6 linked regions of the Macaca mulatta genome follow. The main gene of each other region encodes a partner of the protein of the gene in region 2 in a complex. Links are inferred from orthologs where the notes say so. Each region holds a gene or a part of one and is shown on either strand. Other genes may lie near its edges.

Region 1 (4,035 bases), on a different chromosome or scaffold from region 2:
ATGAGAAATTTGGTACCGACTTACTTTATGAGCAATTTTGATGAAATGACATTGATAAATGACCTCAGTTCTCAGATTATTAATTATAAGAACTCAACTGAAGAAAAATAGAAATAAAATCTTAATCCAAACCAATGGAATGATTCATTGGACTGCACTTGATAACCACTGCTTTGTTTCCAACATTTTGTGCAGGTAGATTTAGTAAGCTTTTTAAAAAAGGCACAAAGGCCTTCATCTACAAAAATTAGGGTAGTTTAAGAAAGCTCTGTATCTAATGTTTCCCAGCTTTCAAGTAGATCAGATAGAACTGGAATCTTAATATGATGCAAACATGACAATTCCCAATTTCTTTACCCCTGCTGTGTTGCTTTTTTTCATAAACCAAACTGCCTCTACCTGCAGAACTGGATCAAATTTCTTAGTCACTAAACTCCACCACGAAACCACCTCAAAAGGGACCTGACTCCCACCAACCATGAAAGAACAAGATACACTACAAAGTGAAAAACAGATGCTTTTATTTATTGTATTGTAAACAACTTAATAAAATTTGCATCTCTACATATGGGAAACTGCTTTGAGTAACTGGGAAAACAGCTATTGCATGGGAAAACATATGCAAACTAGCATCACTGTCTCTAGACTAGGTTCTTCTTATTGATCTCATGTCATCATAAGGCAGCAACAGCAGCTTCTAGAAAATGGAGAAACAGCAAAGTCCTGCAGTGGAGCTATAATTAAGGTTGAACCATACATTCCACTAATCCTGCAACTTTCCTACTATCATTTTTCTGCCTATACAATCCTGCTTCTTATAGGATGAACACCTAGCAAAACAATGTAAATTTGCTGAAAAACAAAACTATAAACAAATGAAAGAACTTAACAGAACACACAGCATTAGAGGGACTAGGAAGTGCAAGGTGTTAATATCCAGTACAAGTAATAAAGCCAAGAATTTTCTAATGCTGATCAGTCTGAACACTGAAATTAAGAATCAGTTCTTTTTACTTCTCTAGGAGTGATTCTAGCTCTTCTTGCAAAGAGCTGAGTTGCTCCTTTTCTCGGTCTTCCTTTTGTTTGAGCTCATCCAGTACAGCCTGAAATCTGTTCTTGAGAGCCAGATTTTCCACTTTCATGATGAGATCCTCTTGTCGTTTTGCCCTGTCCTGGGTCTCTTGGAGCTTGCCTTTCATGTTGTCAATCTGCTTCTGAATTCCCATAACCAGCTGATTGGTTCCCTCATTTTCCTGGTGCTGTTCATCTGATTCATTTAGCTTGTCCTGTAGTTGTCTCTCCAGATCTTCCTCAGTGTCAATGATGTTTATATCTTCTTCATCTTGATGCTGGGTCTCATCTTCATCCTCACTGCTGCTGCTGAGGTCATTGAATATCTCCCGAAGCTCATCATGTTCTAATGAGTCATGGCCCTGCCTGTGACCAGACATTCCTGGAGAAGAGATATCCAGGCCTTGATTTTCTGCCTCCTTTGTTTCATCTTCAGCAATTATTTCCCACCGAGTACTAACAGCTTCAGCATCTGTACTCAGCAATCGTTTCACTTCTTTTTCCACATCTGGAGATTCAATATATTTCTTCTTTGCTGTCTTCCGGAACCTTCTCTTCCTGACATTCTTCAGAGGCAGAGTAATTCCGTGGTTCCAGATAAACTTTTTCTCTTTGTCCTTATCCTTTTTCTTGCTTGCTTTAGGATCAGTGCTAGCAACTGGCTCCTCCACAGGTGGATAGAGATCACCATCAACTGTGGATACAAGCATCTGACAGATATCAGCTGTCTTGTAAAAGGTTTTCTTATCAATGGTTTTCAAGCTTTCCATAACACAGGGCAGGTCTACCAATTTTGAGGCCAATGGAACACGGTCCACTCTGACGATTCCATGACGCCCATCAGGATGTAACTCAATTGTCAGTCTGTCCTTGAGGTTGACATGACCAGACTGTACTGCTCTTCTCACAGTAGAGGCATATTCTGGAGGCAGACGTAAGATAAACTGGCTCTCCAGTTCGTGAGGAGCATCATCTTTGCTTTTACTCATTTTTATTTCTTTGTGACTCACTTCTCCAATAAATGATGGTTACCGTAAAAAGTTCCAGCTACTGCAATAGTTTAAAACACCAGTTCGCTATGAATTGAAATATTTTAATTACAAGAAGTTCTCTGTAGATCAGCAGCTTAGCGTCTATTTTGCCTTCGTTTTTATTTAAGCTCCAAGTCTTTTCTCTAAATATGCTGTGACCAAATACCAGTCGTTAACACAAAGGCTTATTCACAGACTTAAGTTCATTAAATCAGATGCAATGCCAAGTCCCAACCTCTAGGTGCCGCTGCCCGACAACGCGGAGACAGCTACCTAGCTAAGAAGCAGGAAAGCAAATGGCGGCTCCCGCGGAACGGTTTTCGGCCCAGAAAGGCCAGCAGAGATACTCTCAATTTACAAACTCTCCCGGAACAGACACTCAAAACATCAGGGCTCAGTGAGCTCTCTTCGCCTCGGGTACTTACAATCCAGTGACGATTATAAGTTCAGTTTCACCGGGCCGGAGCGAAGGGAAGAGGAGGCCGCAAGGAGCAAAGCGGGAGGCAGCCAAGCGTCTCCTTGTCGTTTCCTTAATTCTTCCTGCCGCTTGGCAGAGTGATCCACTATCGATTACTGATGAAAGCCCAGGATGGGCAACGCGAAATCTTGCCGAGAGGCGCAGCTCGGAGAACCAGACCCGGCACCTCGCCGGCCCTCCGTTCGACCGCTTGCCCAGAGAAAACGGAAGTGCTACGTCACGACGCGGGGCGGGAGGTGGATGTGAGTGACAGCCCCTCCGGCCGGAAGGGCGGAGCCCCGGCGCGCGCAGGCGCAATAGCGCAATTACGCTGCCCAGCGTGAAACTCGTCTTTTCGCGAGAACTTGCTTTTCTGGGATGAAAATGATAGTGTTTTCGAAGAGCTGTTGGTTTCAAACTATTTAGCGCTTGGAAGTTACAAGAAAGACACGGATTCGTCCCCCGCTAAGCCAGCACTTTTAAGGGATCGCTGTGGGGCCGGATGGCTTCTAGACTTCCGGGTGATTCCGGGAGATGGGGGACGCCTGGCAGTAAGCGTCTTTGCTTCTGGAAACATCTCGGATGCTTCCTAGGGTCTAGCCAATCTGGTGCCAATACAAGAATGTGTAGCTACTATACAATGGATTTTAAAGAACCCAAATCAGTGGAGTGAGGAGGACATGGAGCTCACTATATAATTCTAAACCTCTCTTTGTTTGTTTGTTTGTTTGTTTTGGAAATGGAGTCTAGGCTGTCACCCAGGCTTGAGTGTAGTGGCACAATATTGGCTCACTGCAATCTGCACCTCCAGGGTTCAAGCGATTCTCCTGCCTCAGCCTCTTGAGTAGCTGGGATTACAGGCACCTTCCACTACCCCAGCTAAGTTTGGTATTTTTAGTAGAGAAGGGGTTTCACCATGTTGGCCAGGCTGGTCTCCAACTCCTGACCTGAGGTGATTTGCCTGTCTTGGCCTCCCAAAGTACTGGGATTATAGGTGTGAGCCACCGTGCCTGGCCCAAAGTCTATATTTTGTTTAATATAATTCCCTGTAGGGGAATTGTGCCTCTGGGTTTCCTTCTGTTCTGTAATACTCCTGAGGAAACAAGGGTGATTCCTTTTTATATGCTTGATTTAGATGTAAATGTAAGCAGAGAAGGAAGTGTTCTTCTGCAAGCACAGGTTCATTTTGGACAGAATTGTCTGATAGACTGAGCATCTGGTTAAAGTAGACATAATTGAAGTATTGTTTCCTGCTTCTCATGTACAAGTAATTTTAAATACTTTGACTTTTTTTTTAACTCCACCTCTACTATTTTGCTGTTTTGTGCTTGTCTTTTCTTTGGAGGGTCAGGTATTCATCAACACATATTTTTAGTATTTTGACATAACTGGGTAACAGTTGGTACTTATTTCTATTTATTTCCATTTATTTTTAAAATATCTGGTAGAGCATCAAGGCCATTAACATTTAATTTC
Region 2 (3,208 bases):
TATACAGTTATCCTGTCCCAGGGGCCAGTGGCTTCTCTCTACATGACAGACTCAAATTGTGAGGCTCAGTTTTTTCTTGTATTCACAGGTGGCATTGGAAGGCCTTCGGCCTACCATCCCACCAGGTATTTCCCCTCATGTGTGTAAGCTCATGAAGATCTGCATGAACGAAGACCCTGCAAAGCGACCCAAATTTGACATGATTGTGCCTATCCTGGAGAAGATGCAGGACAAGTAGGACCGGAAGGCCCTTGCCTGAACTCCAGAGGTGTCAGGACATGGTTGGGGGAATGTACCTCCCCAAAGCAGCAGACCTCTGGTTGCCTCCCCTGCCTCCAGTCATGGTACTACCCCAGCCATGGGGTCCATCCCCTTCCCCCATCCCTACCACTGTGGCCCCAAAAGGGGCGGGCTCAGAGCTTTGTCACTTGCCACATGGTGTCTCCCAACATGGGAGGGATCAGCCCCGCCTGTCACAATAAAGTTTATTATGAAAACAGGCTGGTGTGGGGACATGGGGACAGACAAGTACATTTAGGTTGGGTGGCTCAGGTGAAGTAGTGCGGCTTCTTCACATTGATGCCATACTCGCTGAGGGCAGGGGTCAAGTCCTCCATGGTTAAAGTATACTTGCGGTCCTGAGGGAAGAGGGAAGAGCACCAACTGAGCACAGGAATCCCACACTTCAATCCCAGATGGGTGACCCTGAGTAAGTTTTACACCTCCCCTAGGATTCAGTTTCCCCAAAGGGGTGGCAGGATAAGCTTCCACTGTTGTGGAAGGTAATTAGTGATTCAATGAGCCTCCCCTCACACCTTGCTCTTGCTCCGGGAGCTGCCGGAGGCTGTGCCCTTCATTTTGCAGTGCTGTAGGGCATCATTGGCAATATCTGAGATGAATTTCTGGGCAGCTAGGGAGATGAGCCGAATTCTAGAGAGAAAAAACTTAGATGAGAAGGAGATGGACAACACACTGCACAAGCACCCAAAACTAACCTGCCCTGGGTTTACTCACATGCGTGGGTCTGAGGCCTCAAAGCCAGCACGGTTCAGGTAGTAACCAGTCACTGCATCTGGGATCTAAGAAATCAATTAAGAGAACTGTCAGCAGAGTGGGATGAGGGTGAGGGAAATGTCGGATAGACCTGGTTATCAGGAAGCTCACGATTTGGGTGAGCAGAGGGCAAAAACAAGAGCGACTACGGAAGCAAACATCAGAGGGTGCTGAAAAGCACGGAGATGTGGCTGAAAGTTGTGACAGCAGGCTAGGTGGCCTTGTTCGGGCGGAAGCCCACCGTAGGCGTGTAATCCTCCAGCTGCATCAAGAAGTCCACCAACGGCGTGCTGGACACCACCGGCTTCACGTCTCCGTTGGCCGCGCTCGGCAGTACGTAAATCCCGTTAGACATGGCCCCTTCTGGGGGCGCCGCGCCACCCGCCGACACCGGAGCTGGAGGAGAACCAGCAAAATGAGACACAGAGGTGGGAGGCGCAGGGCCCCAGCGAGGTCTGTCTATACCCGCTGCCCTCACCCGCCGCTGGGCCCAGTCCCAGACGCTTCCCTCGCCCTCACCCGTCAGGCCCTCACCCGCCCCACGCCGCTCAGCTGGCTCCCCGGCCCGCGCCGCCAAGGGTCCCGTGCCCCCAGCAGCTGCTCCAGCCCCAGGCCCCCCTGCTGTCCCCGCGGGGCTGGCCTTGTTCTCCGCAGCGGTGCTGGCGGGCAGCGCTGCGGGAGCCGAGACCGGGGGTGCCGGGCCCGGGGCCGAGGCGGCGGAAGCCGGCGCCGCCTCGGGGTCCGCGCCGGAGCCGCTGCAGCTCATCGGGCCGGTGGGAGAGGCGGCGAACAGAGCCGCTTCCGCTTCCGCTCGCGCCGCGCACACCCCGGGGTGACGTCACGCGCCCTCGACTCGCCCCGCCTGTCACTGTTAGTGCTCTCCAGCCCGCTCCCCGCCTCCTCTGGTAGTGGGTCTGCGGGTTAGAGGAAATAGGCTGAAGGGCGGAGACCAAGCCTTGGCGAACTGCGCTGCCGTCGCCATTCCGCCCTAGCCTCTGCGGTGCTCGGTGGCGATTCCGTCGAGACTAGAAGCAGCGTGCGTCCGGGACTCTTCCGCCGCTCTGGGACACCTCATTCTGTCTGACGCTCAAGACCTTGCTTCGAGGTTTATGGGCCCTACATCCCTCGACTACGGATTGCCTGCCTGTCTGCATCCTTTCAAGTTCCCTTATTCAGCCTTGTAAGGATTCATAGTGGATTTGGAAAGCCCCCCGCCCTTCTCCACCAACTGCCCCGAGAGGTGGGGGCAGCAGTGGGGCGGCCCACAGTGCTGCTGTAGAAGGAGGAGGGGTTTCAGCCTAAGTCGACAACGTATGCAAAAATCACAACGAGTGAAAGGCGTGAGATTTTCAATGTAGCAGATATTTAATTCTTATTTGCCAACTCCTGAGCTAGGACCTGGGAATACAAAGTTAAATAGAACACGATTCTAGTCCTTTAGGCACCAACGGTCTTGGAAAGGAAGCCAGACAAGTAAAGTGGCTATTTCAATACTATGTGGTCGTTACAATACTAGAGGTAGACACAGGGGTCGCAGTGCAAGGGAGGAAGGGCATTAACATCTGCCACCTACTTCCAGGTGCCAAGTACTCTTATCAACATTATTCCACTTTATTCCCTGGTGATTAGGAAAGGCAGGTAATATTCCCACTTAACAGACGAGGAAACAGCCTCAGGGAGATAAACTTGCTTGACCCAGTCTCTCTCCCAGTCCATATCAGAACCAAGATTCAAACAGGTTTTGTTTAGAAAATCTAGGATTTTTCAGCCATAGCAAAATGAAGTAGCCTCAGGGAATCAAAACATTCACGAGAGAAGGTGACTTCTGAGCTGAATCTTGTAAGAATTCTGGAAATTAACCAGGCAGTTTGTATCAGGGGTGGTATTAAGGGGACAGAACAGCTTGAGCAAGAGTGAGAGTTCCTTGGGGTTTGGGGAGGGAGGAGGAAAAATGATTTGTTACTTAGGAACAAATAGCAACGAAGGTTTGTGAGCTATGATTGGGGGAAGAAAATAAAAAGCCTGAACTCTATCCAGTAATCCTTGAAGGGTTTTCATCCAAGTGGCCTGATGGGATTTGCATTTTACTCTGGAAGATGATTTGGGGATTGGCCGGAAGTAAGGACGCTGTACTTTTCAAGAGAATGTAGCCCTA
Region 3 (4,129 bases), on a different chromosome or scaffold from region 2:
TCAACCCAAACATCCAGTGAAAATAGGTCATCTTAATAGACGGTTTGCCATGAAAATCATGTCCGATCACACCCTGCAGCCTTGGCTCGGCCATGAGGAGGTCACCCTCTTTTCTTCCCTTGAGTGGCTTTAACTCCCTGGGAGGGTGGAATCTGCGCCCCCGTACAAGCCAGTTTTCCTTCTCAGCTCAGGAGAGGGACCTAGAAAGAAGAGGAACCATGGAGCCTCCTGGTGGGGGCCCTGTCTGCTCTCCTTCTAGGGGAAAACAGCTCCAGTGCTGTGAGGGTTGGTCCCTAGACTGCAGGACACTCAACCACTAAGGAACGAGAGCTGTGTACGGGAGCCAAGTAAGACAGGAAAAGGGAGACTATTCCCTCACCAAAGTGGCTCTCCCCAAGGCTCAGCCCCACTGAGGAGACTCTTTTCTACCAAGGAGCTGAGAAGACCACCTCGGTGGGACAATGAAGGCTCTCTGGACCCCAGCCTCCGACTCACTTCTTCCTGCGGATCTTGGGCTTCTTCACGGGCCGCAGATAAGGGTTATCGATGATGTTCTCCTCCCCATTCCGGCTTCCCGACAAGGAGGGGTTCTGCTGCAACACAGAGGTGTTCTCCTTCTCGGCTCCAGAATCCTCCTTTGAGCAAAAGCCAAAATAAAGCACAACACCAACAGCATAAGGCAAGAGATCATGCCCATAATTGGAATGACCATTAGCATCCTCTAACAGAGAAATTAGAACCTGGGAAGCACCTTCTTTCCAATGTTCGTGTCTTTGCCCCTGATGAAGTGAGGCCCAGGCAGGGGCTGGCTATGAAGGGAAGGCAAGACTAACAGCCTTGACCTAGAAGAGCACACAACAGAGTCGAGAGTCTTGAACCTCTGGAGAAGGCAGGGACAGGGGTTAGAAAGAACAGAGACCTGAGAGGGACAGGAATCAAACTCAGATGCCCCAGGGAGGATGCCCAGCAGGACTGGGAGATACAGGATCAGAACACATCATTTGCATAGGGTATCTCCTGGCCAAGCTAGCCTAAGTCAGAACAGATTTCCTCCTCAAATTCTCACATTTCTGGTACTTGTAACATGGTCCCAACGATCACATCCCAGCATAGGCCAGAAACCTCTAGAGCCCTGAGGGTTCCACTAAGGGAAGCAGAGTCTGCAGGTACAGCACATGCACATCATTGGTAATGCCTATCTGCAACCCATGAGGCAGGGTTTGTTTGAGACGGAGTCTCCCTGTGTCACCCAGGTTGGAGTGCAATGGTGCAATCTCAGCTCACTGCAGCCTCCGTCTCCCGGATTCAAGCAATTCTCCTGCCTCAGCCTCCCAAGTAGCTGGGATTGCAGGCATGTGCCATGACACCCGGCTAATTTTTGTGTTTTTAGTAGAGACGGGGTTTTACCAGTTGGCTGGGCTGGTCTTGAACTCTGAGGCAGGGTTTTTTACTGTTCATTTTTTGAGAAAAATGTGGTTTTTCAGAAAAGTTTGTAAGTTCACATGTAATCAGTATGATCAAAATTCTTAAAAAGTCACAGTTGTGTATAGACACAGAAAAAAAGGTAATATGCTGACATTTTAAAAACTGTTCTGGGAGTATGATCAGTCAGTTCTCCTTTCTTTATTCACAGGCTCCTCTGTTTTCCATGTTTGGTGGGGTGCGCCCCCTGGTGATGGGCCAAGGGGAAGAAGTTCTTCCACAGGGAAGAAGTTCTTCCACGGGGAAGAAGTCACTGAGCTTCCTCTTCCTGTTCTGCAACTTGAGGCCAAAGAGGCCCTCACTGACCTCAAGCAGGAGAGGCTGCTGTCAAAACAGAGGGCGCCGTGACCAGACGGCATGAAATCAACAGCAGGTTCCCCCGACAGGACAGCTGGCCTAGGGCATGGACACCAGTCTCAGGTTTAATGAGCCGGAAGAAACCAGATCACGTCTAGGTTTCCCTGCGGCACATGCCCTCTCTCTGTCCTATCAATTGTTCTCTTCAAAGACCCAGTTCCATTGGCCCAGTATCAGGGCCTATGTACTTTCCCTCTCCAGCACCCAATCCAGTGGGACCACAAGGTGACCTAGAGCCACTGGGGCCTTCTGGAAACTCTTGAAAGCAAGTGCTGCAGGACCAACCTAGTTCAGGCCAGACCAGGTGCCGGAAAAAAAGGTCTGCCCATAACCAGAACTCCCTCGGGTATTTGGCATCCAACCTTTCTGAAGTTCCTAATGGCGCAACAGAGTAGTATCTCCCCACTCTGTCCACCCTATCATTTCTCTACAGTAGACAGCCTATCTTCAAAGTTAATGGAAGTTCATTTCAACCGTGCCTTCAGTGTTTTCTGAGATACAGATAGAGGTGACACTGTTAGAGGTGCTGAAAATGACAGCTTCAAGACACTGCTGGTGGGTCCAGAGGCTCCCTCCCTTCGGCTCACCATGGCTCATGAGCGCAGGATGACAGGCTTCCTTCTCCCAAGCAGACCTCACAGAAATGTCCCCTTCAGCGATACACAGCATTGAGACGGTTAGGGGTGGGGGAGTCAGTAAAAAAAGTAGGCCAGGCGGGGTGGCTCATGCCTGTAATCCAACACTTTGGGAGGCCGAGGCGGGTGGATCACCTGAGGTCAGGAGTTCGAGACCAGCCTGGCCAACATGGTGAAACCCCGCCTCTACTAAAAATACAAAAAAATTTAGCTGGGTATGGTGGTAGGTGCCTATAATCCTAGCTACTCGGGAGGCTGAGGCAAGATAGTCTCTTGAACCCGGGAGTTGGAGGTTGCAGAGCCGAGATCGTGCCACTGCATTCCAGCCTAGACAACACAGCGGGACTCCATCTCAAAAAAAACAAAAAAGCAAAGTGTCAAACTGACCCAGAGATTTGTTAAAAAGGTGAGAGCAGAATGGTCTATCAGGCGCTCCCTGAATTGCCTCTGAGCTCTAGCAAGCCCTAAACCCTCTGTGGTGATTGCATCCGGTCTCCCAGCTCTCCGTGCCATCTCCATGCCAACTGTTCCCTGGAGTACACTGCCAGCCCTCACCTCTGCCGACTTCCAGACTCATGCAGCCAGCAGCTCACTCAGCATTTCCACTGGGGTGTCAGACAGGCAGCTTGGACTTCAGGCACCTAAGTCTGAATTGGGGACCTTCCCCTGTGAGTAAACGGCGCTTTTTAGTCCCTCCCATCACAGGTGATGGCAACTCCATCCTTCTAATGGCTCAAGTCACAAACTCTGTGGTCATTCTTGCTTGTTTTCTTTCTTTTATTTTTAAATAGGGTCTCACTACGTTGCCCAAAACTGGACTCAAATTTCTGGGCTCAATCTTCCTGCCTCAGCTTCCCGAGTGACTAGGACTACAGGCATGAACCACCACATCTGGCACACTTCTTTTCTTTCTCTGACATCCTACCCCCAATCTGTTAGCACAGCCTTTTGGACTTACCTTCAAAATTCAGGCAGGTACTGACCACTTCCACCACCTCTGTGGCAACCACTCTGCTTGGGCCCACCACTGCCTCTCACCTAGGCTATAGCAACAGCTTCCTGACTGATCTCTCCAGTCCGTTCTCACCGAGCCATCAGAGTGATGCTTTAAGAAGCTCAGAAATGTCCCTCCTCTGCTCCACACCCTCCCACAACTCCCATCTCACTTAGTTAAAAGTCAGTTCTTAAAACAGCCTGCAAGGCCCTACCCAATCCACAAGCCACTCACTATTCCACAGGGCCTTTGCACTGCCCATTCCCTCTGCCAGAGTACTCTTCCCCAGATATCCGCATGGCTCACTCCCTCACCCAGTTCAAGCCCCTGCTCACATATCCCCTTCTCGGTAATGCCTACTCCGAGCACCCCACTTAAAACTGAAGACTCGGCCGGGCGCGGTTGCTCAAGCCTGTAATCCCAGCACTTTGGGAGGCCGAGACGGGCGGATCACAAGGTCAGGAGATCGAGACCATCCTGGCTAACACGGTGAAACCCCGTCTCTACTAAAAAATACAAAAAACTAGCCGGGCGAGGTGGCGGGCGCCTGTGGTCCCAGCTACTCCGGAGGCTGAGGCAGGAGAATGGCGTAAACCCGGGAGGCGGAGCTTGCAGTGAGCTGAGATCCGGCCACTGCACTCCAGCCTGGGCGACAGAGCCA
Region 4 (3,500 bases), on a different chromosome or scaffold from region 2:
TTTACAGCTTTACAAACTATAGCAAATAAAATGCATTTGTACAGATGCTGACCACACATTCAGAAGGAGCCCACCTTTGCTGGGCCCCGCCTCTACCAAGCAGAAATTCGATTACACTCTGAGGTGGGGGTGCTACGATGAATTGTATATTCCTCCAGGATTCTCAGCAGAGCGGAAGGGAGACGAGGGGAGGGCTGGGGGGAGAGGGGAGGGCTGGGGGAGAGGGGAGGTGGGGGGGGGAAGAGGGGAGACGGGGAGAGGGGAGGGGAGAAGAGGGAAGGGGGAGAAGAGGGAAGGGGAGAAGAGGGGAGGGGGAGAGGGGAGGGGAGAAGAGGGAAGGGGGAGAAGAGGGAAGGGGGAGAAGAGGGAAGGGGGAGAAGAGGGAAGGGGGAGAAGAGGGAAGGGGGAGAAGAGGGAAGGGGAGAAGAGGGGAGGGAGGAGAGGGGAGGGGAGCGGGGAAGAGAGGAGGGTGGGGAGAGAGGAGGGTGGGGAGAGAGGAGGATGAGGGAGAGAGGAGGGTGAGGGGGAGAGGAGGGTAGGGGGAGAGGGGAGGGGAAGGAAGATAAATAGTCTAAAAAATCAGTTTGCTTTGCTAACTGACTATTACAAAAATAAAATAAAATGAGGTCATCGGCTGTAGACATACACCTACACAGTAAGTTAGGTAGAACTAAACCAAAATGCACAAATAATGCAGAAACTGCTATGAGTTGACAGAGGGCAGCTAATTATTTGCTAACGATTCCATCAGTCTTTATATATGGCTTGTTTGGCAAGAAGGCCACTCAATCAAGATGAGTTAAGATTTAATTGTCCTTTAAGAGTATCCACAGGCCTTTGTGTTCTCTCTGTTACAGACACGTATTTTCTTTCACACTGAAGAGTTGATTTAGAAACAGGAAAATATAAAACTGTTCCATCGTAAAGAGGTGGCTGTTTTTTAAACAATATCCCATTTGCTTGTTACAAAAAGGCGTAATCTGCAAATATATAAAAAGTCCCCAGGCGTCCTCCTGTGTCACTTAAGGAATGCTTTGTAGAGCAGCAGTGAATGGCTTGTCTCACGTTCATTTTCTAAACAAAATATGAGGTCCCTGAGGTTGACCCGCGTGATTCTTTGTCGCGTGAACTGTCTGGGGGCTCCGACCCCCGAGCTGCCTGGGACCACCGAGCCGGGGCCCGACCCCTGGTGACAAAAACGGAGAAGACAGGGTGTTAGTGGGGCCCAGAGTGGGGCTTGAAATGGGGGCCTGTGTGTCTGAACCAAGTACCCCGATTCCAGAGGAGGCCAGGCCTGGCATGGGCTCCCTCCGGTAGGCCCACAGCTGGAGCTGAGGTGCTGTCCCAGGGCCCTGCCAGGGCAGGGGCAAGGGCAGGAGGCCTCATGCTGCGCCTTCAGGACAGGGCACACTCAGACACTGCCCAATGCCCCACAGTGCTCAGACCTGCTCCTGGGGCTGAGGATGGACCAGGGGGTGGCACCCACCCAAGGCAAATGTCTGAGCGGCCCCAGGGCCACCCTCCATGCAACCACAGCTGGACTGCATGTGGACTCAGCTGGGGTACAAAAGCCACACGGGGTCCCTGTGTGTCATCCTGCTTGGCTGCTGAATTCCCGCACTGGAAGGGCTGGGGTCGGCTGGGACTGGGCATGCTAGGTCAGCTGCGAAGGCTGAGTTGCTCAGTGGCTCCCACAGTGATCCCTGGGCCTCTGGCTGGGCCCTGCTGCACAGACCCTGCCTCCATCAGCCCCTCTAGGTGACCAGGTGCCTCCCGAGCTGCCTCAGATGTGTTCCTGCTTGGAGAAGCATAGCTGCTGGGTGCCAGCTCTTGTGGAGAGCTCTGGTGGTTTCAGCTGATGACACCTGCACGACACCACCTAGCGGGGCCACGCCACACACACACGACACCGCCCAGCGGGGCACGCGCCACACACACACACGACACCGCCCAGCGGGGCACGCACCACACACACACACACAACACTGCCTAGCGGGGCACGCGCCACACACACGACACCGTCCAGCGGGGCACGCGCCACACACACAGACACCGCCCAGCGGGGCACGCGCCACACACACACACACGACACCGCCCAGCGAGGCACACACCACACACACACACGACACCGTCCAGCGGGGCATGCGCCACACACACACACGACACCGCCCAGCGGGGCACGCGCCACACACACACACACACGACACCGCCCAGCGGGGCACGCGCCACACACACACACGACACCGCCCAGCAGGGCACACGCCACACACACACACGACACCACCCAGCGAGGCACACACCACACACACACACGGCACCGCCCGGGGGGCACAAGCCACACACACACACGACACCGCCCAGCGGGGCACAAGCCACACACACACGGCACCGCCCAGGGGGGCACAAGCCACACACACACACACACACACGCACACACGGCACCGCCCGGGGGGCACGAGCCACACACACACGACACCGCCCAGCGGGGCACGCGCCACACACACACACGGCACCGCCCAGGGAGGCACGAGCCACACACACACACACACACACACAAACACGGCACCGCCCAGGGGGGTACGAGCCACACACACACACACACACACACACACACACACACACACACACACGGCACCGCCCAGCGGGGCACACACCACACACACACACACAGCACCGCCCGGGGGGCACAAGCCACACAACTCCCAACGGCTGTGGTTTCCCCATCTGGCATGAAAACTAAGGTCTGCTCTGATGGGGAAAGCTGCTCACGTATATTTAAGTACAAAGATTACAATGGCATCTTTATGGCACATTCTCAACCAAAGTTAAGACGCTGGAAGTAGCTGATTCTGCTCTGCACGCCACTGGGAGCCCTGCCGTGAACAGCCACAGGCAACGCCCGGGCTGCCCTGATGTGGCACCCCTCATCCCGTCCTTCCTCCCGTCCCCGCTCTGCCACTTTCAGTTCAGGCTGGGAGCATGGCTGCCTGTGTGATGGCGTGCAAGTGTGACTCCGACCCACTACATTTTCTTTCTTCCTGTGAGATTCAAACAGAAGAGGGCACCTGTCTCCCTCAGACGCCCTGCACTGTGAGGGCCCTTCTTCAGACCTGCCCCAGGTGCCTCTGCTACTGAAGCCTCCGCACGCTCCACACTAGCTCATTACAAACTGATCCTCACCTGAGGCCGGGCCTCCCAAAAGAGAACTCAGGCGGGGCGAGTGACAGTCTGCAGGGTGAGGGCAGGGCTCTCACACGCACCACCCTAACAGGCTGTGCGACCCAGTGACACCGTCTATAAATTCCACACTGTGTTTGATGCTTCTACCTTCAAAATAGTTCAGCTGCCAAAAGAGAGGACTGGGGTGAAGGGGAGACGCTCATTCCAGGTGCGCAATTTAAGGGCTGCTGAGGGTCGGAAATCAAGATATTCTAATGCCAAGTGTCAGCACCAATCAAGGGAAGGGGCGAGACCAACCAAGGGTGAGGGCGAGACGGTGC
Region 5 (3,179 bases), on a different chromosome or scaffold from region 2:
GTGCAATCTCGGCTCACTGCAACCTCCACCTCCTGGGTTCAAGCAATTCTGCCTCAGCCTCCTGAGTAGCTGAGACTACAGACATGTGCCACCACACCCGGCTAATTTTTGTATTTTTTCTTTTTTTTTCAGTAGAGACGGGGTTTCGTCATGTTGGCCAGGCTGGTCTGGAACTCCTGGCCTCCCAAAGTGCTGGGATTACAGGCGTGAGCCATTGCACCTGGCCAAATAGTTTCTAACCTGAACTACCTTATCCTCAACTTCTAAGAAGATGACAGAGAAACATAAAGGTGCTCACAGTGGTATGGAAGACAAGGTTAAGCATCTGATGGGGGTGGAAGGGAGGACTGTTAATTAACTATTTTTTAAAAACCAGGATTCATATAGATGTAATTGCAGATATAATAATACTCCTGCCCCAATTTCTTTTTTTTTTTTTTTTTTGAGACGAAGTCTCGCTCTTGCCCCTAGGCCAGAGTGTAATGGTGCGACCTCAGCTCACTGCAACCTCCGCCTCTTGGGTTCAAACAATTCTCCTGTCTCAGCCTCCTGAATATCTGGGATTACAGGCGACTACCACCACGCCCAGCTAATTTTTGTATTTTTAGTAGAGAAGCGGTTTCACCACGTTGACCAGGCTGGTCTCGAACTCTTGACCTCAGGTGATCCGCCCACCTCGGCCTCCCAAAGTGCTGGGATTACAGGCGTGAGCCATTGCGCCCGGCCCCAATTTCAAATAAGTTATAAATGCAAAAGCTTCTCAGAAAGTTGATCCTCAACAATGGAAGTGTAAATGAATTTGGCTGGCTGCTGTAATTCCCAACAAGAAACCATTCTATTCATTGAATACACCCAGTCATAAGATCACAGTGTTCTTACCGAGCTACTCGGTCATGGCCCCCTGACACGAAATAATATCCATATGGAGAAAATTGTGTGTCCCATACTGGATAGTTGTGTCCTTTATATCCCACCAAACAAGTAAATGTTTGAAGGCTCCACAATCTAACAGTTCCATCCTCTGAAGAGGAAAGCAGATAGTTCCTGAGAGAAGAGAAGGTAATATATTTGACTCCCAGAGTAACCTTTGGTCACCTGTCCAGTTTTATATACATTTGAATACATTAAATATTTTATATACACTTGAATATTTTACATACATTTGAATATATTAAATATAGCTAACATGCTACATCTCACTTTTAATTCATTCATGCAATTCACAGTAGGTATCAACTGAAAGAACTAACCAAACTAATGTTAGCTCTGACACTCTACATATACCGAGCACCTACTGAATGAGGTAAGATGATACAGAAACTTACGGAAAATCAGTTCTTTACAAGAAAAAAGTACTGGGGTAATTAACAAAGTATAGTCAAGTAAGGTCAATTGAGAAAGTTTAGGAAATGTGATATGTCACTTAAAACTCAACAAGTTTTGACCCTAAAATAAAGATGCTATTTTCCTATGCTGTGTATGCTATTTAAGAATTAAAAAGGAAATGTCTTTTGAAGAAAAAAAAAAAACACTATAGACATGCTAATAATTCTCTACCTTTTTCAAGGATAAACACAACGGATTGGTAGTCAGAAGGTATTACAGTTTTCACTGAAATCAGACGTTTCCTCAAGTAAAAATGTATCATCTGGCAAAACCTTATCAAACAACAAAAAACCTAATTCTCAAAGTTTCATAATGATGAAATCTTGATGAATGGAAGGCTATTATCTTTTTTTCTTCTTTTTTTGAGATGGAGTTTAGCTCTTCTTGCCCAGGCTGGAGTGCAGTGGTGCGATTTCGGCTCGTTGCAACCTCCGCCTCCCAGGTTCAAATGATTTTCCTGCCTCAGCCTCCCAAGTAGCCAGGATTACAGGCGGGCACCATCATGCCCTGCTAATTTTTGTACTTTTAGTGGAGACGGGATTTCCCACGTTGGCCGGTCTCGAACTCCTGATCTCAGGTGATGCGCCAGTCTTGGCCTCCCAAAGTACTGGGATTACAGGCATGAGCCACTGTCCCTGGCCTGAAAGCTTTTATCTATCCAAGTAATATACTAAGGGTATTATGAATACAAAACACCCTCCCCCCATTTTTACAGTGTTAGAGATCATGAAAAATAGGCAAATACCTATACACATAGGATGACATTGTAATCATACACCTAAAGGGAAACAAAACTAATTTCGAATTTCCTTTTTCATTTACTCTTAGTACTTTTGATTATAGAAAGATAAATCCTCAATTACTAGCTAATATGCCATTAATGTCAGGAATTTGTCTTAAATTTGATGAAGCAGCCAGAAGACACAATGCAGGGACCCAATGAAGCATTTCAACCCCTAATGGAGTTCTATAAAACTAAAGCTTTGGTTGGTTATTTACCATTGGGTAACAAATAAAAATAATTTAAAAAAAAAAAAGAAAAGAAGAAAATACTAAAGCTAATTTTTAAAACCAGTAAGCTCTGAAACTGTGCATTTTGATTCTATAAATTTGAGTATACAGGCCGGGCGCAGTGGCTCACGCCTGTAGTCCCAGCACTTTTGGGAGACCAAGGTGGGCAGATCACCTGAGGTTGAGAGTTCAACACCAGCCTGACCAACATGGAGAAAACCCGTCTCTACTAAAAATACAAAATTAGCCAGGTGTGGTGGCGCAGGTCTGTAATCCCAGCTACTTGGGAGGCTGAGCCAGGAGAACCACTTGAACCCAGGAGGCAGAGGTTGCGGTGAGCCGAGATCACTCCATTGCACTCCAACCTGGGCAACAAGAGTGAAACTCCGTCTTAAAAAAAAAAAAAAAAAAAAAAAAAAAGAGTATACATTAAATTGCTACCGTGTACAAACATCAGGATTCAAAGATGAATCAGCAAACGGCAAGATTCTAAAAGATAATGAACGACAACCATGAGATTTTTATCAGAATTTTCCCAGTATTTGCATAATGTTTCCAGTAGTTGACTTTTATATAATTTCAATATAACATAGCAGTATTTAATTTTTATTGTTTGTATTTTACCTATCCGGACTGAAGCTGGCTCCATAGACAGGCCCACTGTGACCATACAAAATCTTCAACTCACTTGCTGTTTTCTCATCCATGATTCTTTCTAAGACATCATCTGATTCTTTGTCTATAAGACTAAGATCTAAAATGGTCCAGAAATATTGATGTTT
Region 6 (3,969 bases), on a different chromosome or scaffold from region 2:
TTTGTTTGTTTGTTTTTTCCCCAGACTCACTCTGTTGCCCAGGCTGGATCATAGCTCACTGCAGCCTCAAGCGATCCTCCTGTGTCAGCCTGCCAGGTAGCTAGGTCTGTAGGTGTGACCCACTCCACTAGGCCCTTTATCTGGTCTCTTGAGTCAGGTGCTTATTTGCAGTATCTTCTGGTTGTTAATAAAAATATGTAAGGCTATACATTTTTCTTTAAATAAAGCTTTGGCCAAATCCCATATCATTTGATAAAGTGTTCTGTTAATTTCTTTAGTCTAAAGGCTATTTAAAAAGTAGTTTAAAATTTCCAGGGGGTTCTTTTTTGGTGGGGGAGAAGCTTTTTGTAGTTAATTTCAAGTTTAATGCATTGCATTAACAAGATGTGGCCTGTTATGATATCTTTTAAGAATTCATATTTTTCTTCATGGTCTAGTACATGATTGATTTTTAAAAGTGTTTCAGAAACAACATAATTTTATCCTCTGTTCGGTGCAAATTTATATATGTAGTGAGCTCTCTAGTGTACCAAGCTAATTATTCAAATCCTTGCTGTCCTTGACACCTGTTTTAAAGTTTCCTTCTTGGCCAGGCATGGTGGCTCCCACCTGTAATCTTAGCACTTTGGGAGGCTGAGGCGGAAGGATTACTTCAGCCCAGTGAGTTGGAGACCAGACTGGGCAATATAATGAGACCTTGTCTCTACCAAAACAATATTTAAAAAACCTTTAGCTGGCCAGGTGCGGTGGCTCATGCCTATAATCCCAGAACTTTGGGAGGCTGAGGCAGATGGATCATGAGGTCAGGAGTTCAAGACCAGCCTGGGCAACTTGGTGAAACCTTGGCTCTACTAAAAATACAAAAATTAGCTGGGCACAGTGGCACGTGCCTGTAATCCCAGTTACTGGGGAGGCTGAGGCAGGAGAATCACTTGAGCCTGGGAGGCGGAGGTTGCAGTAGGCCGAGATTGCGCCATTGCACTCCAGCCTGGGCAACAGAACGAGACTCCGTCTCAAAAACGAAACAAAACAAAACAAAACAATACAAAAACTTCAGCTGAGCGTGGTGCAGTATGCTTGCAATCCCAGTTACTGCGGACGCTGAGATAAGAGGGTTGCTTGAGCCCAGGAGGCAGAGACTGTGCCACTGCACTCCAGGCTGGGTGACAGAGTGAGACCTTGTCTCAACAAACCAACAAAAACTGCCTTAAAGGAGCTTGCAGTGAGCCGAGATCGCGCCACTGCACATTCCAGCCTGGGTGACAGAGCGAGTACTCAGTCTCAAAAACAAAAACAAAAACAAAAAAAGAAACCTGCCTTAAAATACTTTTGTCAAATGTTCTCTTTTTCTTTTTTTCGAGACGGAGTTTCACTCTGGCACCCAAGCTGGTGTGCAGTGGTGCGATCTCGGCTCACTGCAACCTCTGCCTCCCAGGTTCAAGCGATTCTTGTGCCTCAGCCTCCTAAGTAGCCGGGATTACAGGCGCCTGCCACCATGCCCAGCTAATTTTTGTATTTTTAGTAGAGACAGGGTTTCCCCATATTGGGGATCTCCTGACCTCAGGCGATCCACCCACCTCCGCCTCCCAAAGATTACAGGCGTGAGCCACTGCACCCGGCCAAATTTTCTCTTTTTCTAAAAGTTCTTACTTTATACATTTTTATGCAACTTTATACACTGAAAGGCTATTTCCATCTAATCTACTGTTCACCCCACGATCTCTTAAATCCCTTCTAGCTCTAAGACCCCAAGATTCTACTTCCAGAAATGTAATCCAGAGAACGATGAGTTTCTGGTCCTGACCAATGTTCAGCTAGGCAACACTGCTGAACTCTCTGTAGCATAAAAACACCAGACCCAACTGATGGGTCCCTGATCACCGGGTGCTGTGGCTCACGCCTGTAATCCCAGCACTTTGGGAGGCCGAGGCGGACGGATCACGAGGTCAGGGGTTCGAGACCAGCCTGGCCAACATGGTAAAACCCCGTCTCTAATAAAAATACAAAAAATAGCCGGGCATGGTGGTGTGAGCCTGTAATCCCAGCTACTTGGGAGGCTGAAGCAAGAGAATCGCGTGAACCCGGGAGGCGGAGGTTGCAGTGAGCCAGAGATCGCGCCATTGTACTACAGCCCGGGCGACACTTTTATAAAAGTCTATCTCCCTTTGACAGGTTTGATCGACCCTCCTTCCTATAAAGAAACAAAGTTGTCTTAACATCTAAGACGAACCATATTGCGGTGAAAGGGGTGCTACGAATCCTGGGTTTTAGCTCTTGCACTGCGTCTCAGTGTGACACTGGATCCCAGTTTCCTCACCACTAAAGCCAATAGGCTATTAAAACTCCCTTAGAAGTAGCTTTAATCCCTTGACAAGACTAAAAATATTAACGCAGTGCTTGAGCCTCTGGAACGGAACCAGCACTGGAGTTCTGTTTGGTCGTCCGCTCTCTTCCCCCTCAAGATTAACGATCTGGAGGGAGTTCTGGTGAGTTCGAGTTCTCGTAACTTGGGAGGGACTAACCAGAAGCCCGGCAAGCACCCAGTAACACGATCTCTGGGTATTCCTTCAGCCTCATCGATACATCTCTTCCTACCTCGCCTTCCTCCGCTGCAGCTTCTTTCAAGTCCGCATCTGCGTCTCCGTCAGTTTCCTCTGGGATTCCATCCGTGTCGGTAGCCCCCGGGTCCCCGGACGCAGCGGCCGTCTCATCCGACTCCCCTGTCTCTCCACCTTTGTCGGAGGGCGACTCGCGGGCATCGTCCATCACGGATAGGATTGGAGGGGAGAGGAGATCGCGGCGATGTCTGAGGCAGAAGCTCGGAACCCCGAGCTGCACAGGACAGTATCTTACTTCCTGTCGTCGCGCAGCGATGACATCACCCCTACCGCTCTCCTGAGGGGTCATTTTGAGGCGCGCGTAGAGGACTAGAGGACTCATTTTAACTTTGGTTTGGCGACAGTGGGAAGCGGGAAAATTGGACGTAAAGAGCTCAGACTATGGATCCTCCTAGCTAGGAAACCAGCACTTGTGAAGGAGCGCAGTTTTGTTTACTAAATAACTTTTTCCTTTTCGCCTGTCTAAAAATTCAATACCAGTTAATCCCTTCGTTAACCCCTCAGAGTAAAGTTGGGGGATCGGGAGAAAACTCAGTTCCGTTGTATGGCGGTGTCGTGGAATGAGGCTACCCGGGATTGGTAAACTTTCAGGCAAGACTCAACCTTGTGTATTTCAACTGGCCCGAAACCGCGGGTCTGTGTGTACGTGGAATTGCTAGCATTTCCGCTCCATTCAGCAAGCACCTTAACAACAAAAAGTCATCTAGCTTGAGCAGAATTTATCCAATTCATTTATTCATCCACAACTATTGACTGCGTACTTCGATTTAGAAACAGTGCTAGTACCAGGGAACAAAACACACATAGTTTCTATCCAATTAAATGATTTTTTTTCAGTTCGCAAGTATTCAAGATTGAGGTTTGTTTCTACAAGTCTGACACTTTTCTATCATTTTGGTTAATCTTACCAAAACTAAGAGGAAAGCCTAAAGAGAGGAAGGTGTCTCCTTCGAACGTTTCACTTTAACGAACTAGTTCATGTACTGGGAGGATGAAGTGGTGAGGATATTTCTATTTTAAAATTTTCTTCTCTTCCCTCATAGAGATACGAGGGGGAGGGCGTTTTATTCACCTGGGTATGACTAGGTCCCAGCACCTATTACATATTTAATTTATGCGTGCTTAAAGAATGTCCTTGGAAATGTAGGTGCGCGTTACCATATTTATCTCTTTGTTTCTGCGCTGCCTGGACGAATTGCCGTATTTCCTGTCCCAGGAGCTCCCAAAACGTTTAGGGAAGGAGCGCACTTCGGGAGGCGCGTACAGGTGGGCCTGTTTGTCCCTTTCCACCTATATAATGGGGACCCACAAGGCGCTGTCCCCATAACCCGTGAGGCCTGTCTCGGCACAG

Evidence for each region.
Region 1: TAF10 (region 2) and TAF7 share a complex: the UniProt entries of both Homo sapiens proteins name them as parts of the TFIID basal transcription factor complex. The link is inferred for Macaca mulatta from reciprocal best matches to the Homo sapiens genes TAF10 and TAF7.
Region 3: the proteins of TAF10 (region 2) and TAF8 are in contact, whole or in part, in a crystal structure (PDB 4WV4), measured with the Homo sapiens proteins. The link is inferred for Macaca mulatta from reciprocal best matches to the Homo sapiens genes TAF10 and TAF8. Residues at the interface, in NP_006275.1 of Homo sapiens: Pro115, Leu116, Phe119, Leu120, Leu123, Tyr126, Thr127, Thr129, Ile130, Pro131, Val134, Thr135, Tyr137, Tyr138, Leu139, Ala142, Gly143, Phe144, Glu145, Ser147, Asp148, Arg150, Ile151, Leu154, Ile155, Leu157, Ala158, Ala159, Gln160, Lys161; in NP_612639.2 of Homo sapiens: Arg33, Thr36, Leu37, Val40, Ser43, Leu44, Leu45, Ala48, Gly49, Phe50, Glu51, Ser52, Ala53, Glu54, Ala56, Ser57, Thr60, Leu61, Met64, Leu65, Gln66, Tyr68, Ile69, Ser70, Ile72, Gly73, Arg74, Ala76, Lys77, Cys80.
Region 4: TAF10 (region 2) and TAF4 share a complex: the UniProt entries of both Homo sapiens proteins name them as parts of the TFIID basal transcription factor complex. The link is inferred for Macaca mulatta from reciprocal best matches to the Homo sapiens genes TAF10 and TAF4.
Region 5: TAF10 (region 2) and TAF5 share a complex: the UniProt entries of both Homo sapiens proteins name them as parts of the TFIID basal transcription factor complex. The link is inferred for Macaca mulatta from reciprocal best matches to the Homo sapiens genes TAF10 and TAF5.
Region 6: TAF10 (region 2) and TAF11 share a complex: the UniProt entries of both Homo sapiens proteins name them as parts of the TFIID basal transcription factor complex. The link is inferred for Macaca mulatta from reciprocal best matches to the Homo sapiens genes TAF10 and TAF11.

Annotation. Positions count from the first base shown.
Region 1 is NC_133411.1:150,152,934-150,156,968, forward strand, and holds TAF7 (transcription initiation factor TFIID subunit 7), read right to left. Parts: upstream 2,793-4,035; 5' UTR 2,061-2,792; coding exon 1,011-2,060; 3' UTR 501-1,010; downstream 1-500. UniProt on the Homo sapiens protein: The TFIID basal transcription factor complex plays a major role in the initiation of RNA polymerase II (Pol II)-dependent transcription.
Region 2 is NC_133419.1:59,170,777-59,173,984, reverse strand, and holds TAF10 (transcription initiation factor TFIID subunit 10), read right to left. Parts: upstream 1,832-3,208; 5' UTR 1,820-1,831; coding exon 1,588-1,819; coding exon of another isoform or gene 1,573-1,587; intron 1,450-1,572; coding exon 1,295-1,449; intron 1,080-1,294; coding exon 1,015-1,079; intron 931-1,014; coding exon 816-930; intron 639-815; coding exon 549-638; 3' UTR 501-548; downstream 1-500. Other genes in the region: scaffold protein ILK, read left to right, coding at 89-238. UniProt on the Homo sapiens protein: The TFIID basal transcription factor complex plays a major role in the initiation of RNA polymerase II (Pol II)-dependent transcription.
Region 3 is NC_133409.1:140,083,374-140,087,502, forward strand, and holds the end of TAF8 (transcription initiation factor TFIID subunit 8), read right to left. Parts: intron 636-4,129; coding exon 521-635; downstream 1-520. UniProt on the Homo sapiens protein: The TFIID basal transcription factor complex plays a major role in the initiation of RNA polymerase II (Pol II)-dependent transcription.
Region 4 is NC_133415.1:114,771,960-114,775,459, forward strand, and holds part of TAF4 (transcription initiation factor TFIID subunit 4), read right to left. Parts: intron 1,187-3,500; coding exon 1,019-1,186; 3' UTR 1-1,018. UniProt on the Homo sapiens protein: The TFIID basal transcription factor complex plays a major role in the initiation of RNA polymerase II (Pol II)-dependent transcription.
Region 5 is NC_133414.1:115,532,789-115,535,967, reverse strand, and holds part of TAF5 (transcription initiation factor TFIID subunit 5), read right to left. Parts: intron 3,152-3,179; coding exon 3,022-3,151; intron 1,045-3,021; coding exon 880-1,044; intron 1-879. UniProt on the Homo sapiens protein: The TFIID basal transcription factor complex plays a major role in the initiation of RNA polymerase II (Pol II)-dependent transcription.
Region 6 is NC_133409.1:147,388,278-147,392,246, reverse strand, and holds the start of TAF11 (transcription initiation factor TFIID subunit 11), read right to left. Parts: upstream 2,801-3,969; 5' UTR 2,767-2,800; coding exon 2,596-2,766; intron 1-2,595. UniProt on the Homo sapiens protein: The TFIID basal transcription factor complex plays a major role in the initiation of RNA polymerase II (Pol II)-dependent transcription.